Linked DNA regions of Nothobranchius furzeri. The protein of the gene in region 1 purifies or fractionates together with the protein of each later gene. This does not show direct contact. Links are inferred from orthologs where the notes say so. Each region holds a gene or a part of one and is shown in the gene's direction. Other genes may lie near its edges.

The links. The genes of interacting proteins can lie anywhere in the genome.
Region 2: the proteins of runx2b (region 1) and ubtf purify together in Homo sapiens (co-immunoprecipitation; 3 studies listed by BioGRID and IntAct, with this or other methods). This does not show direct contact. The link is inferred for Nothobranchius furzeri from reciprocal best matches to the Homo sapiens genes RUNX2 and UBTF.
Region 3: the proteins of runx2b (region 1) and histone deacetylase 4 purify together in Homo sapiens (affinity purification with western blotting; 3 studies listed by BioGRID). This does not show direct contact. The link is inferred for Nothobranchius furzeri from reciprocal best matches to the Homo sapiens genes RUNX2 and HDAC4.

What each region holds. Positions count from the first base shown.
Region 1 is NC_091742.1:21,529,936-21,533,498, reverse strand, and holds part of runx2b (runt-related transcription factor 2b), read left to right. Parts: intron 1-1,543; coding exon 1,544-2,019; 3' UTR 2,020-3,563. UniProt on the Homo sapiens protein: Transcription factor involved in osteoblastic differentiation and skeletal morphogenesis. Essential for the maturation of osteoblasts and both intramembranous and endochondral ossification.
Region 2 is NC_091745.1:10,210,522-10,214,545, forward strand, and holds the start of ubtf (nucleolar transcription factor 1), read left to right. Parts: upstream 1-1,221; 5' UTR 1,222-1,359; intron 1,360-1,854; exon of another isoform or gene 1,855-2,011; intron 2,012-3,493; 5' UTR 3,494-3,515; coding exon 3,516-3,552; intron 3,553-3,723; coding exon 3,724-3,896; intron 3,897-4,024. UniProt on the Homo sapiens protein: Recognizes the ribosomal RNA gene promoter and activates transcription mediated by RNA polymerase I (Pol I) through cooperative interactions with the transcription factor SL1/TIF-IB complex.
Region 3 is NC_091754.1:47,244,970-47,249,252, reverse strand, and holds the start of histone deacetylase 4, read left to right. Parts: upstream 1-1,480; 5' UTR 1,481-2,042; coding exon 2,043-2,157; intron 2,158-4,283. UniProt on the Homo sapiens protein: Responsible for the deacetylation of lysine residues on the N-terminal part of the core histones (H2A, H2B, H3 and H4).

The sequences.
Region 1 (3,563 bases):
ACAGCTAGGAGAACCGTCTAACTTTTTCTGTTTCCTTGAGCTAACACACTCTGCTCTGTGTGTGTGTGTGTGCGTGCGCGCGTGGTAAGTGAGGGCGAGTGATTAAGCGATGCAGCCGTGTGACTCTGCATCAGAAGAGGTTTAAAGTCCAGCCAGCTGCCCTGTCAGCTCTGATTAGCTCGGTAGCCCCCCACCCCCACCCGCTCCTTTTCCCCATGCAGCTTTCATCTCATGCGTGTTTGTTCTCCGGGTGACACGTGTGGACGGGCGATTGTGCACGCGCAGACACGAGCCTCTGCACCAGATTGACACCTGTGCTTAGCACGCCTGAGGCTCTGGGATCTGCAGAGGTCACGCTGACACCTCGCCACGGTGAGGAGCACGCCGCCGTAGATGCTCCGTTTGCAACCTGAAACAATCCAGCTGCTGAGAAGTTCAATTTCCCGAGAAGCTTTTGCAGAATGTTCATCGGCTGGAGTCGTGACGCCTCCCCTCGGAAGTGATGTTTCCAAACAAACACGGTGGTCTCCTTTCCGCTAACAACGTTTCATCTTCAAAGTGAGAAACGAAGAGCCGAACAACTAAAGTCACACTTCTTTTTCCACAATCGCCCACTATTCCTGTCGGAATCAAACGGATGGAAAATAGGAAGTTTAAAGGCTTTAATTTGCAGCATATGCTATCTGACGCTAGCGACAAACCCAACTTCGCAATCCCTCCCTGCACATAAACACTGCGCCCTCCTCCTCCTCCTCTCGGAGCAGACATGGTGACACGGAAGACGCCTGGTGATTTATGATAAGAGCTCCATGGCTGCACTAAACCACCAAGAGGATGAAGGGAAGGAGGGGGATGTTGGAGGAGGAGGAAGACGAGGACCTCCTATTCTCCTTCAACTCCTGGCGAAGCTCGCCACAGCCAGTTAGTGGTTTTTGGGTATTGTTTAAGGGATGAAGTGAAAAGAGGAACGAAGGGTGAGATGGAGCAGCTCCTTCTCAGCTCTGGACTCACACACACACACGCAGACGCCGGAGCCGATGGGAGGCGAGGAGAGGAGCCACATCAGAGCTCAGCCCTGCCTCATTATGGATCTCATGGAAACTGTTTCTGCGCAAAGTGTTTCCACATGTGCAGCTCCTGATTCATCCCAACTGCTTTTTTATGTGCATACAGTATTCACACACACACACACCATTTGCACACACATTTGCATGCATAAACAATTATATGGATGCACATAAACATGCACCGACACACACGGAGGGGCAGCGGTGTGCATGGGAAATGCAGGAGAGTGAAACGCTGCAGAAAGTGATGAATTTAACGGATCATTTTATCCACACCGGTTCATTCACATATCTGGTTTCAAACAACTTCCCTAAGTCATTGATTTAAGTTTTAATTCCTGACACACTTAAAGGATGCCATCATAACGTGTGTGTGTGTGTGTGTGTGTGTGTGTGTGTGTGTGTGTGTGTGTGTGTGTGTGTGTGTGTGTGTGTGTGTGTGTGTGTGTGTGTGTGTGTGTGTGTGTGTGTTGCAGGCTCCTCAGACCTGAGCCCATTCCCGGGTCAGTTCGAGCGCCAGTTCCCGAGCCTTTCCTCCATCGCTGACAGCCGCTTCTCCAGCCCCCGCATGCACTACCCGCCCACCTTCACGTATTCGCCACCCGTCACTTCGGCCATGTCGCTCGGCAGCGCCCACTACCACTACCTACCCCCGCCCTACCCGGGCTCCACCCAGAGCCAGAGTGGACCCTTCCAGACCAGCAGCACGCCCTATCTCTACTACGGGGCGTCATCCAACTCCTACCAGTTCAGCATGGTCCCTGGCGGGGATCGCTCGCCTTCTCGGATGATCCCACCTTGCACTAGCGCCTCCACGGGCACCTCCCTGGTGAACCCCAACCTCCCCACCCAGACAGAAGGAGGGGTGGACGGGGATGGGAGCCACAGTAACTCCCCAACTGTTCTGAACCCCGGAGGCAGGATGGACGAGGCGGTCTGGAGGCCGTATTAAAAGTCGACTGACGTCTGAAAGCACAAAACCAAAAAAAAAGCGGATTTTTTTTCAGGCCTTGCCGGCTATCTGCTGCTTAGAAATACAGCAGAGATGAAAAAGAAGAGCAGACTTGTGCCGACTTGTCTTCCTGGAATGTGTTTTGACCGCGGCGCTACGAAGGGAGTCGTTCTCGCTGCAACGGTTTACTTGCAGCTGAGACGCTTCTCTGTTTTTAATCCACCAGCTGAGGGATGCTTTCTGCCTCTTTTGTACAGAGTTTCTACTTCCTTACCGCTTTTTGTTTGTTTGATTGTTTTATGCAGAGCATGTTTTTGTATGACAACAATATCACCATGCAAGTTAAGCACTGAGTAGCAGATGAGACAGTTTTGACAATCCTTGTTGCTTAGAGACAGTTAATTTATCTTGTACATTGTGGGTGAAACTTTGATGTAGATTGAAGCGTTTTTAACTTATGAAGCCATAAATTATGTATTGTATTTGAAACTTGAGTCGAAGGAGTGTAATCTGAATATTTTTGATGCGTCTAAATGACTAAGTTAATTTTTTTATAGGTAATTTAAGATTTATTTGGTTTTCTGTTGTAGCACCCAAAGATTTTTAATCCTTATGAAATATAATTTCCAAAGAGTATTGCGGCATGATGGAGGTTTCGGTTTGACTCGTTCGGAGGCCAACGTGTGCGTGAAAGGCGTCGGTATTTATTCAGCGATCACTTGCAGTGTGCCTCTCGGTAACCGATCGGTAAAAACGGCTTCAGTTTGGGAGAAATCGTCATCATTTAAGGACTTTTTGCTTCATTTTTTTATTCCGTCTTGTCAAACGTGCACTTATATAGTTGTAGTCCTTTTCAAAGTCAGAAGTCCAGTGGTGCACTTTAAAGCATCCGGTGGGGCTTTCTAAGGTCTGGTTGTGTTACATGAACTCCTCAGGACTGGAATTTTGCTCCGATCATCTCGCGGATTTGCAAAATCTGCATTTTTATTTTTCCCTTCATGCGCAGCCTGGCTGAAAGCTTGCTCAGGATTACAGCTTACACATGCCAAGTCTATTCTAGCTTTTGTATGCGTGAAGAAAGATTCTCCAGTTGTTTCACTTTTTTTCCGTCTTTAAGACAAAAAAAGAACATTCCGAGTTACATTTATCTCTAGTTTTGTTTTGATTTAAAAAGTCTTGGATGCTCTGGGTTCATATTCACCAAGACTTTGGGAGATTCTTTAAGGAAAAAGTGCAAAAAAACACAAATAAAGGAGGTGATTGGATTCAGCTGCTGGCAGCAAACTGGTGACCAAAAAGCGACAGGAGCTTTGTGTCTGTTTGTTTCATAAAAGCACTTATTTCTTGTTTTATTTCTAGCAGCACTTGCGGCTGGCTGCCAGCAGAGCTCGTGGTTTTGGTCCTGCCGCCACACACACACACACACACACACACACACACACACAAACTTGGACAGACCATGCGTTTACATAGGAGTTGAATCTGAACTCACAGAGCTGTTTTTTGTTTAAAAACAAAGAAGAAACCCTTTTTTTCAGTTTTCT
Region 2 (4,024 bases), on another chromosome or scaffold:
CTAGTGGATGGCGACTTGTTTGCCAAGAGTCTTAATGAGATAAATTATAGTAGGATTGTTCCTCAGAGAGAAATGTGTTCGTTATTCTTATATTATGTTTAAAATACTATTTAAAACATAAACGTTCTAAAAACATGATACGCAAGCATAATATTCTACATGGGAAAATTACTATTTTAGCTGCCTTTTTATCCTGCTAATAGGTTAAATAGTTGGTTTTATTTTTAAGTCTAGTATTGTCTAGTTTTATTCAGCCATATTCATGATTTCAATCTTCATCAAAGGCAAAACAAAAAAGTAATTAACAATTACACGTTAAATTCGATTTAATACTTTGTAACCACATACAGGAAACATGATATAAATTACTGTGAAAGATAAATACGAACAGGATAATTGAAATTTAAGGTAAACAAAAAAGATAACACAATTGAATTCTTCAAACTATATTATATAATTTTAATTGTAATTGTAGAAGTTTATTTAAACAGTGACAGTGCACAACTTGACATTAACCACAAAAGAAAGATGCAATGTACCAGGTTATAGTGGGGATGCTAATTTCCACCTGTAGTGCCTGGGAAGGTTGATATTAAAATCACTAAACTAAAACAAAAGACGACTGTTTTTGTCCAGTTAGCTAAATTCCTGACACTAATCCAATAATACTTTATTCCTACTGTAAGTGAACATAGCACAGTTTAACAAGACTGAGTGCCTGAAAGTCTTTGTTTTCCTTCAATCGGACGGACTGGATTGGACGGCCGGGGGTTCCGCCCACAAACACACAAGGTGGAGTTGAAAAAATAACATGCTGGGCTAAAATGAAGCTGTCAAACAGCCAGTTACGTTTGAGTCAAAGAGGTTTGGTGCCGGGGGAACGGCACGGACACCGGAAATAAGAGTTAGGAGAATAATCAGACACTGATTGGTGTCAATTATAAACTTTAAAGATGTGTGCGTTCAATGAAAAAAAGTTCACTGGTGGCGTTTAAATTAGGTAACCAGTAAAGCGATTTTTCTTTCAAGTGTAGGCAGACGAAATGTTAGAGATGCAAACTTCAGTGGGAGACGTGAAAGTCGGGCTCGATGAGAAACAATAAACTCTGCTGGCTGAGCTCAGAAAATCAGCGGCGTTAACACTGGGGAACATGGGGATGTGTCGGTGTAGCGGAAATGGTTGGATGGAGAGAAGAGAGCTGCTGCACGTTGACTGGAGGGAGACAGCGAGAGAGATGGAGGCGGGGGGAAGGACCATCTCTGCGGGGACTGGAGCCCAGGACCGACGGCGCAGTGCTGGCTATCGTTCAACCCTCCCCTTCTTCATCCACAGCGACGCGGAGGCTCGCGCCGAGACAGGTAAGCAGCACGAAAGTCGGTCGGTTTCATAACCACACGTGGAAAGAGCGCGATAAACAAACCAGAAAAGCGGTTAAAAGTCGAAAAATAGACATTCTGTTTTTAATGTTGTCTACCAAAGCTCCTTAGGCGGCAGGATCTTTGTGGTAACGAAACAAACTCCCCGCTGGAAGGGCGCAGACGAGGTCGGCCTTACCCGAATTTCTCTGCCCAAACAGCGGGGAAGAAGCTGGATGTAAGACCCAGTGGTATGATGTCTACTATAAATTACACCCAGTGAATTCATGAAGCGAATTAGTTTCACGTAGCATCGGGATTTAGCTAAGCAATCGTTTGTTTCGCGTGGGGAAATGTTTTCCGGTAGTTTCCGCGCCGAGACCTCCACGCGGCTGTTGGCGGAACAGCTAGCCGCCTCTCGGTCAGCCATCAGGGATCTCGGTTTAATATCTCACCGTGAGGAGACTCGCCCTCCCCTCTCCCCCTCTCTCTCTCACTGACTAGCCCAGAACCACCGACAACCGAGCTCGGAGAACCCGCCTTTCCGTCCTCGCTTATGCGCTTTTTGGAGCTAGGGAAGGGAGTCTGCAACGCCCCGGCTAGAGCTTTCGGCTCCGTTTTCAGTGTTCGCAGTACGCCATTGGACCTTGTCACGGTAGGTTTGCTTACAAGAGCGGGGCTGGTAGCATGGCGGACCTGGAGCCGTTTTGTCGCGCCAGAGAAGCTGCTCAGCCGCGGATTGTTCTTTAGATATCCGATAATGAAAGAGCCGATTAAAGCCCACATTTTCCTCGAAACGGAGAATAACTAACACTAACATGAAGTAATTCAAAATTAGGTCAATAATGTTGTTTCACCGTACATATATTTTTTATTTTAATTATGTTTCGCGCCTCCGCAAATAATTTAACCTAACATTTATTAATTTTCGATCTGGTGTAACTTAATTTAGAATATTTTGGAGCATTTTGTATGGTTGTCAAATAATTCATGTTAATTATACGTTGTAAACACAAGTTAATGTGATCCCTAAATCGTCCTTGTGTGACACAAATTTTGATTAGTAGCAAATACTGTTGACTAACTGTGCTACCTTAGATGCTGGTATGATTTTAGGCTTCTTTTCGACATGCTAAGTTACACGGCGTCTTATGTTTTTTTTTCCACATTTATGTAGTATTTTTGACTAAACGTCATAAATCCGACGTTTGAATTTGACATTCTGCGCATTTTACATAAGAAATATGTCGAAAGTAGTGTTAGAAACGACGCGAGGAGACACGGTTGAGCTATCAAGGACAAGATGAACAACGGTCATCCGCCATCATTGGAGCACAGCTCGGCTACGCCTCGCTGAAGAATGCTCTGGCTTTTTGGTCCAAAAAACAACTGCGTGATACCACAAAGCGAACAAAATGTTGAGTGAATTATTCTAAAACGCACACATAAACCCCCTCACGCGTAGAATGCTAGTTTAGTCGTTCTTGTTTTGGGTAAACATTAGTGGAGAAGACTTTAGGGCTGCGTGGCGGAGCTAGATCCACGTCCAACGGTGATGAGGCGTCTCCGCCGAGTGGCGCATTTGGCTGCAGTGCTTCCAAGCTGCCATTCCAGGCTGTCGGAGACCGAAAGCAGATCCCCCGTCCGTGGTCAGCTGGTCGCCTACAGCTGCCTGTCTGTCCACGTTCATTCGCTTCCTCCTTCCGTGGATCCTCCCCAACCTCCGCTCCGACAGAAAGTCCTCCATTACCGAGCAGACCGAGCGAGAAAATGGTCGCTCCTGAGCGTCCACGATACTTCTGTTGTAGAATAAGGACAGCACTAATTCGCCAAATTCCGGTTGGCCCAAAAATAAAAAATAAAAAAAAATAAAAAAGAAGCTCGACAGGGACTCCTGTTGTCGTCGCTAGATATGCTTAGTTGAAGCCCTCCGCAGTGTTATTTGAGATTTGAAGCCGTCACAAGCAATAGCCTATGCCTCACCATGCAGCGTAAACGTTTAGGGGCGGTGTAATGAACATAAACCATTATGTCGGCACACATTTCAACTCAAACGACTTACAACAGAGATCAGTTATAATAAAGTTAGAAAATATGAATTTTAGTGATTTTGATTAATTTATTGTTTCTTTTGTAGTTCAAAAATCGCATTTTCACAAATGAATGGAGAAATGGAGGCAGCGACACATGACCAAGGTAGTATATTTATGAGTCATTTTTATTTATATATATTTTTTTAACAAATGACAAATACTTGTATAATCACGAAATTGTTTTAATGAATTCCACATTTTGTCATCATACTATAAACATAATGCAACCATACTAATAAATCCATGAACCAGTTTACATGTATTTTTTTATCAGTGTGGTCGCAGGATGACCTCCTAAAGCTGCTGGAGGCCATGAAAGTGGCTCTGCCACAGAAAGATCTGACTAAATACAAAACATCCGAGTCCCATCTGGACTGGCAGAAGGTGGCCTTCAACTCCTACACTGCAGAGATGTGTAAACAGAAATGGCAAGAGGTCTCTAAAGAGGTGAGATGCTCAGATCATGATTTTTAGGTCGTAAACCTTTTCAGATGTAATATTTAGATTAAGTTCTTAAAGAGGTCCTCCAATGAGAAACAAGTTTGTCTTATTTTTGGAAATGATCTGTTACATTA
Region 3 (4,283 bases), on another chromosome or scaffold:
GTAACACGTTTAAAAAAATACCGCGACAATACCGAAAACCGTGATAATTTTGGTCACAATAAATGAGGTGAAATTTTCACACCGTGACAACCCTAGTACCCACAAGTATCTCTCAGCTTCACAAAGGTTGGTGACCCCTGGATTAGCGTCCAGGAAACAGCAGGGAACGTCTCGGCTACTAGAAGCTAACCGTTAGCTTTAGCAACTCCACCAGACAGCAGAACTCCTCCAGGCTTGAGTTATTTATGGAGATAAAACATCAACGTTGCTGTTAGCCAATTAGAGGAAAAATGTCCAAATATCAGGAAGTAATCATCCTAATCCTGCCTGTGAAGCTCCGCTCTGACGTGGCTCTCTTCTAGTTCCTGAAACGGGTGCGTTCATTCGTAATAGACACCGCTGCAGATACAGTTTACATGAGTAAACTACCACTTTACTTTGGGTGAATAATTTGTACCACATGAAAAGTACTTTTTCTTTCTTTTATTCAAGTATTGTATCATAGCGTATACAGATAACACCATACCTGTTTGGTATCGACTTTACCAGGTTTTAGTGCATCATACATCAGCTTCCTGCTGCCTGTGAGGAGACGGATGCACGCACAGAGACGAGTTTCATCAGGACCAAACCTGACCGCTGCAGCCATCCAGGCAGGGTGGTGTGAGACCAATATCCTCTAGCTTCCTAGATAATAAAAGTGTGTGTGTGTGTGTGTGTGTGTGTGTGTATTTGTGTGTGTTAGCGTGTGTGTGTGTGTGTGCGGATGTGTGTGTGTGTTAGCATATGTGTGTGCGTGTGTGAGCGTGTGTGCATGTGTGTGAGCATGTGTGTGTATGAGCGTGTGTGTGTGTGTGTGTGAGCGTGTGAGCGTGTGTGTGTGTTTGCATGTGCGTGTGTGTGTGCGTATGTGTGTGTTAGCATGTGTGTGTGCGTGCATGCATGTGGGTGCGTGTATACAGGTGTGCGAGCATGTGTGTGTGTGTGTGTGTGTGTGTGTGTGTGTGTGTGTGTGTGTGTGTGTGCGCGCGTGTGTGAGCGTGTGTGTGTGTGTGTGTTTGTGTATGCATGTGTGTGAGCGTGTGTGTGTGTGAGAGCGTGTGTGTGTGTGCACCAGTCTAGTCCACAGAGAATTCCAGAAATAGACCACGGATGGTGAGACTCTCGCCTGTTTTTCTCTTTTTTTCCCCTCTGAAGGGATTTCTCGTTATTTTTTAAATCTCAAACCCGTGTTTGTGCTGATGTCTGTACACTTTATGCTCAGAATGTAAATAGATAAATAGGTGTGTGTGTGAATACACGGACCAGGTGCTGTAGAACTATAAATGCTCACAGGATGCAGAGTGAGAGAGTTATTAGTAACAGATTTAGGAGGAGGAGATGGATGCATGTTGATTGTTTTTGTGCCCCCCCCCCCCCCCCCCCAGCTTTTTATAGCCATGTCTTCCCAGGGCTCAGCAGCTACAAAAGCCTTTTCATGTTGCCACTATAATTACAGCCTACACACACATGGACATGCATGCATACACACACACTCGCTGGAGCAGCGTCTTTGTGTTGGTGTGTGCGTGCTCTGCATGTGCAGTTATACACAAAAGGGTGAGCTATTTTTACCTCCCTCCCCTCCCCTCCTCTCCATCGCCTCCTCATCCCTCTCTCCGCCGCTGCTGCTAGCCACATTTGCTATGCTGAGCACAGGCGCTATCAGTCGAGCGCCAACATCTCTCCAACTCGCTCACAAGCGAACACACACACTCACTCTCACTCACACACACCAGCTGACGAGCGCTCCCTCTGAATCCCGGCTTATTCTTTAGCTCCGTCCGAGCATCCCTGCAGACGCGCCTCAGCGTTTGCTGCTCATGGATCAGGAAGCAGCTCAGGGGCTCGGAGGTGCACAGCGGCATGTGCTCTCCACCGTGCAGATGACCTGAAGCCCCTCTCTCTCTCTCTCCCTCTCTTTCTCTCCCACCTTCTCTCTTTCTCTCTCCGACTGGTTTTAACCGCCTGATTAGCAGGTTTGTGGCTGGAAGCCCGGCTCAATGCTGCGGACCATCTTTGAAGCAGAATGCTCTCTTTCTCCCACAGAGGGAATCCTGGGAAAGGAGCCGCCGCTGGAGGTCCTCAAGACGTCGGCGCTCAACCACATCCCAACAGGTTGGTCAATCTGTGTGTGTGTGTGTGTGTGTGTGTGTGTGTGTGTGTGTGTGTGTGAGTACGTGATGTTACTATCAACCACATCCTGTGTGACTTTGCTTTTTGGATGTGAGCGAGCCGGGGACACACCGTCTACTTGACCAGGAGACACCATGTTTACATCCCCAATGTTTTATTTAAGCCGCTCCGGTGCTGCCATTTTGCTGAATGAAAATCTGGAACTCCGAATGTTTGCGCGCACGCACGCACGCACACACACACACACACACACACACACACACAGACACACACACACACACACACACACACACACACACACACACACAGCTAAACAAACCCATTGTGCCTCTCAGTCAGTTCCTGAGTCCGTTTAATGTTCCCAAAACAATCTCTTGCAGCTCCCAGTGCTATAAGTTCCCATTCCCAAGTATTCCTGAATGCAGATCCATGTTGTCCGGTAGAAATTGTACAGGAAAAGTGAGGATGAGGAGAGTGGAGCAAAACCAGAGGGGCACAGATAAGGAAGGATAAATTGGTGTTGGGATAGTGCATCCCATAATTCTGTAATAAGGAAGCTTAAACTGCTCCCAGCTTTTGGTTTTTTGCCTCCCAGGATGGTTGGGTGAGTCTAATTCCTAATTCTGACTCCCAGACAGCAGCCAACGCTCCAGCACGCTGCCGTTTCTGCTCCTAGGTTATTTTTGTTTTCACTTCCTGCTCCTGCCTCCGGCTCAGCTGATAAAATATTGAAATCCACCAGAGCATCTTCATCTGATATTCTCAGAATCTGTTGTCTTGGCTACGAAGCTGCTGGGTGGCATGTGACCCGGACCGCTTCTCCTGCACGGAGAGGAGGGTGAAGCCATCTGGGAGTCTTTAAAACGCCCTGCAGGTGAGGATCACACCTGCAGAGGCCTCCTGAACTTTAGCTCTGTGTGTGTGTGTGTGTGTGTGTGTGTGTGTGTGTGTGTGTGTGTGTGTGTGTGTGTGTGTGTGTGTGCGCACTCCCAGCACGGATCCTTTGCGTAACGCCGTTGTGTGATGTCATTAGAAGGGCGACCACCCCCCCGCCCACTGCAGCTAAAACCTGATTCTACCTGGACAACAGATGAAGTGACTGTTGGCTGCAGGACTTTTCAGAATGAGCCCTCATCTGTGCCACATCCATTAGGGCCTAAGGGGCGGGGCTTAGGCAGTCGGACCGTGGGACCCGGGCTCCACGAACCGGGCCTCCAGTCAGAACCGCCAGCCCTCGACATTGTCTGGTATAAATAGATTCACAGCAGGAGCCAGAAGAGTTGTGGAGAGCGCCGGAGGGGTCGTAAACAGATTGTGATTAGTTTGTGGAGTGTGTGTGTGTGTGTGTGTGTGCGTGCGTGTGTGTGTGAGTGTGTGTGTGTGTGTGAGTGTGTGTGTGTGTGTGTGTGTGTGTGTGTGAGTGTGTGTGTGTGCGTGCGTGCGTGTGTAGGGGGGGGGGGTATGAAGGAGTGCAGGGGTGTGCAGAGGAACCCGCTGACAGGAAAGGTCGCTGAGTTAAAGCAAACGAAAAAGCTGTCAGAATTCCCTCTGAAGGAGATTCCTTTGAATCCCGATGCCTTTTAGAGATTCCCTCTGATCCACAAACGCTCCGATCAGACTCGCAGGAGAAAAAGAAAGTGAAGCGTGTGGATTCTCTTCCCTCTGAGTCTGAGCTAAATCAGGCTGCAGATCAAAGAGGATCTTTTTTTAGACCCCCCCACCCCCCACCCCCCCACACACACCTGTCATACAGGTAAGTCTGCCCGTTGTGTAATGTCTCTGGAGCCCCCGCCCCCCGTTTGGGTCGGATGGCGGCTGCCCTCATGTCGTCCTTATCTCACACACATCAGTAAACTCCAGCTCTGGCTTGACGTCAGTGCTCTGAGACAAAGAGGTGTTCAAATCAGAGTCTATCTGTTTATCAGCGAGGCTTCTGATTGGCTGGGACGTCTGCTGTGGTAACAAAGTTCAGGATGTCTTCAAAAGCAGAAACATCTTCTGATTGGTTCTCATTAGGGACTTTAAGACTGAACCCTCAGGCTCATCCAGACCGATGCAAGGAGCCCTTCGAGACAGAAAAGAGACATTATGAGAGCAAAGGAACCTGC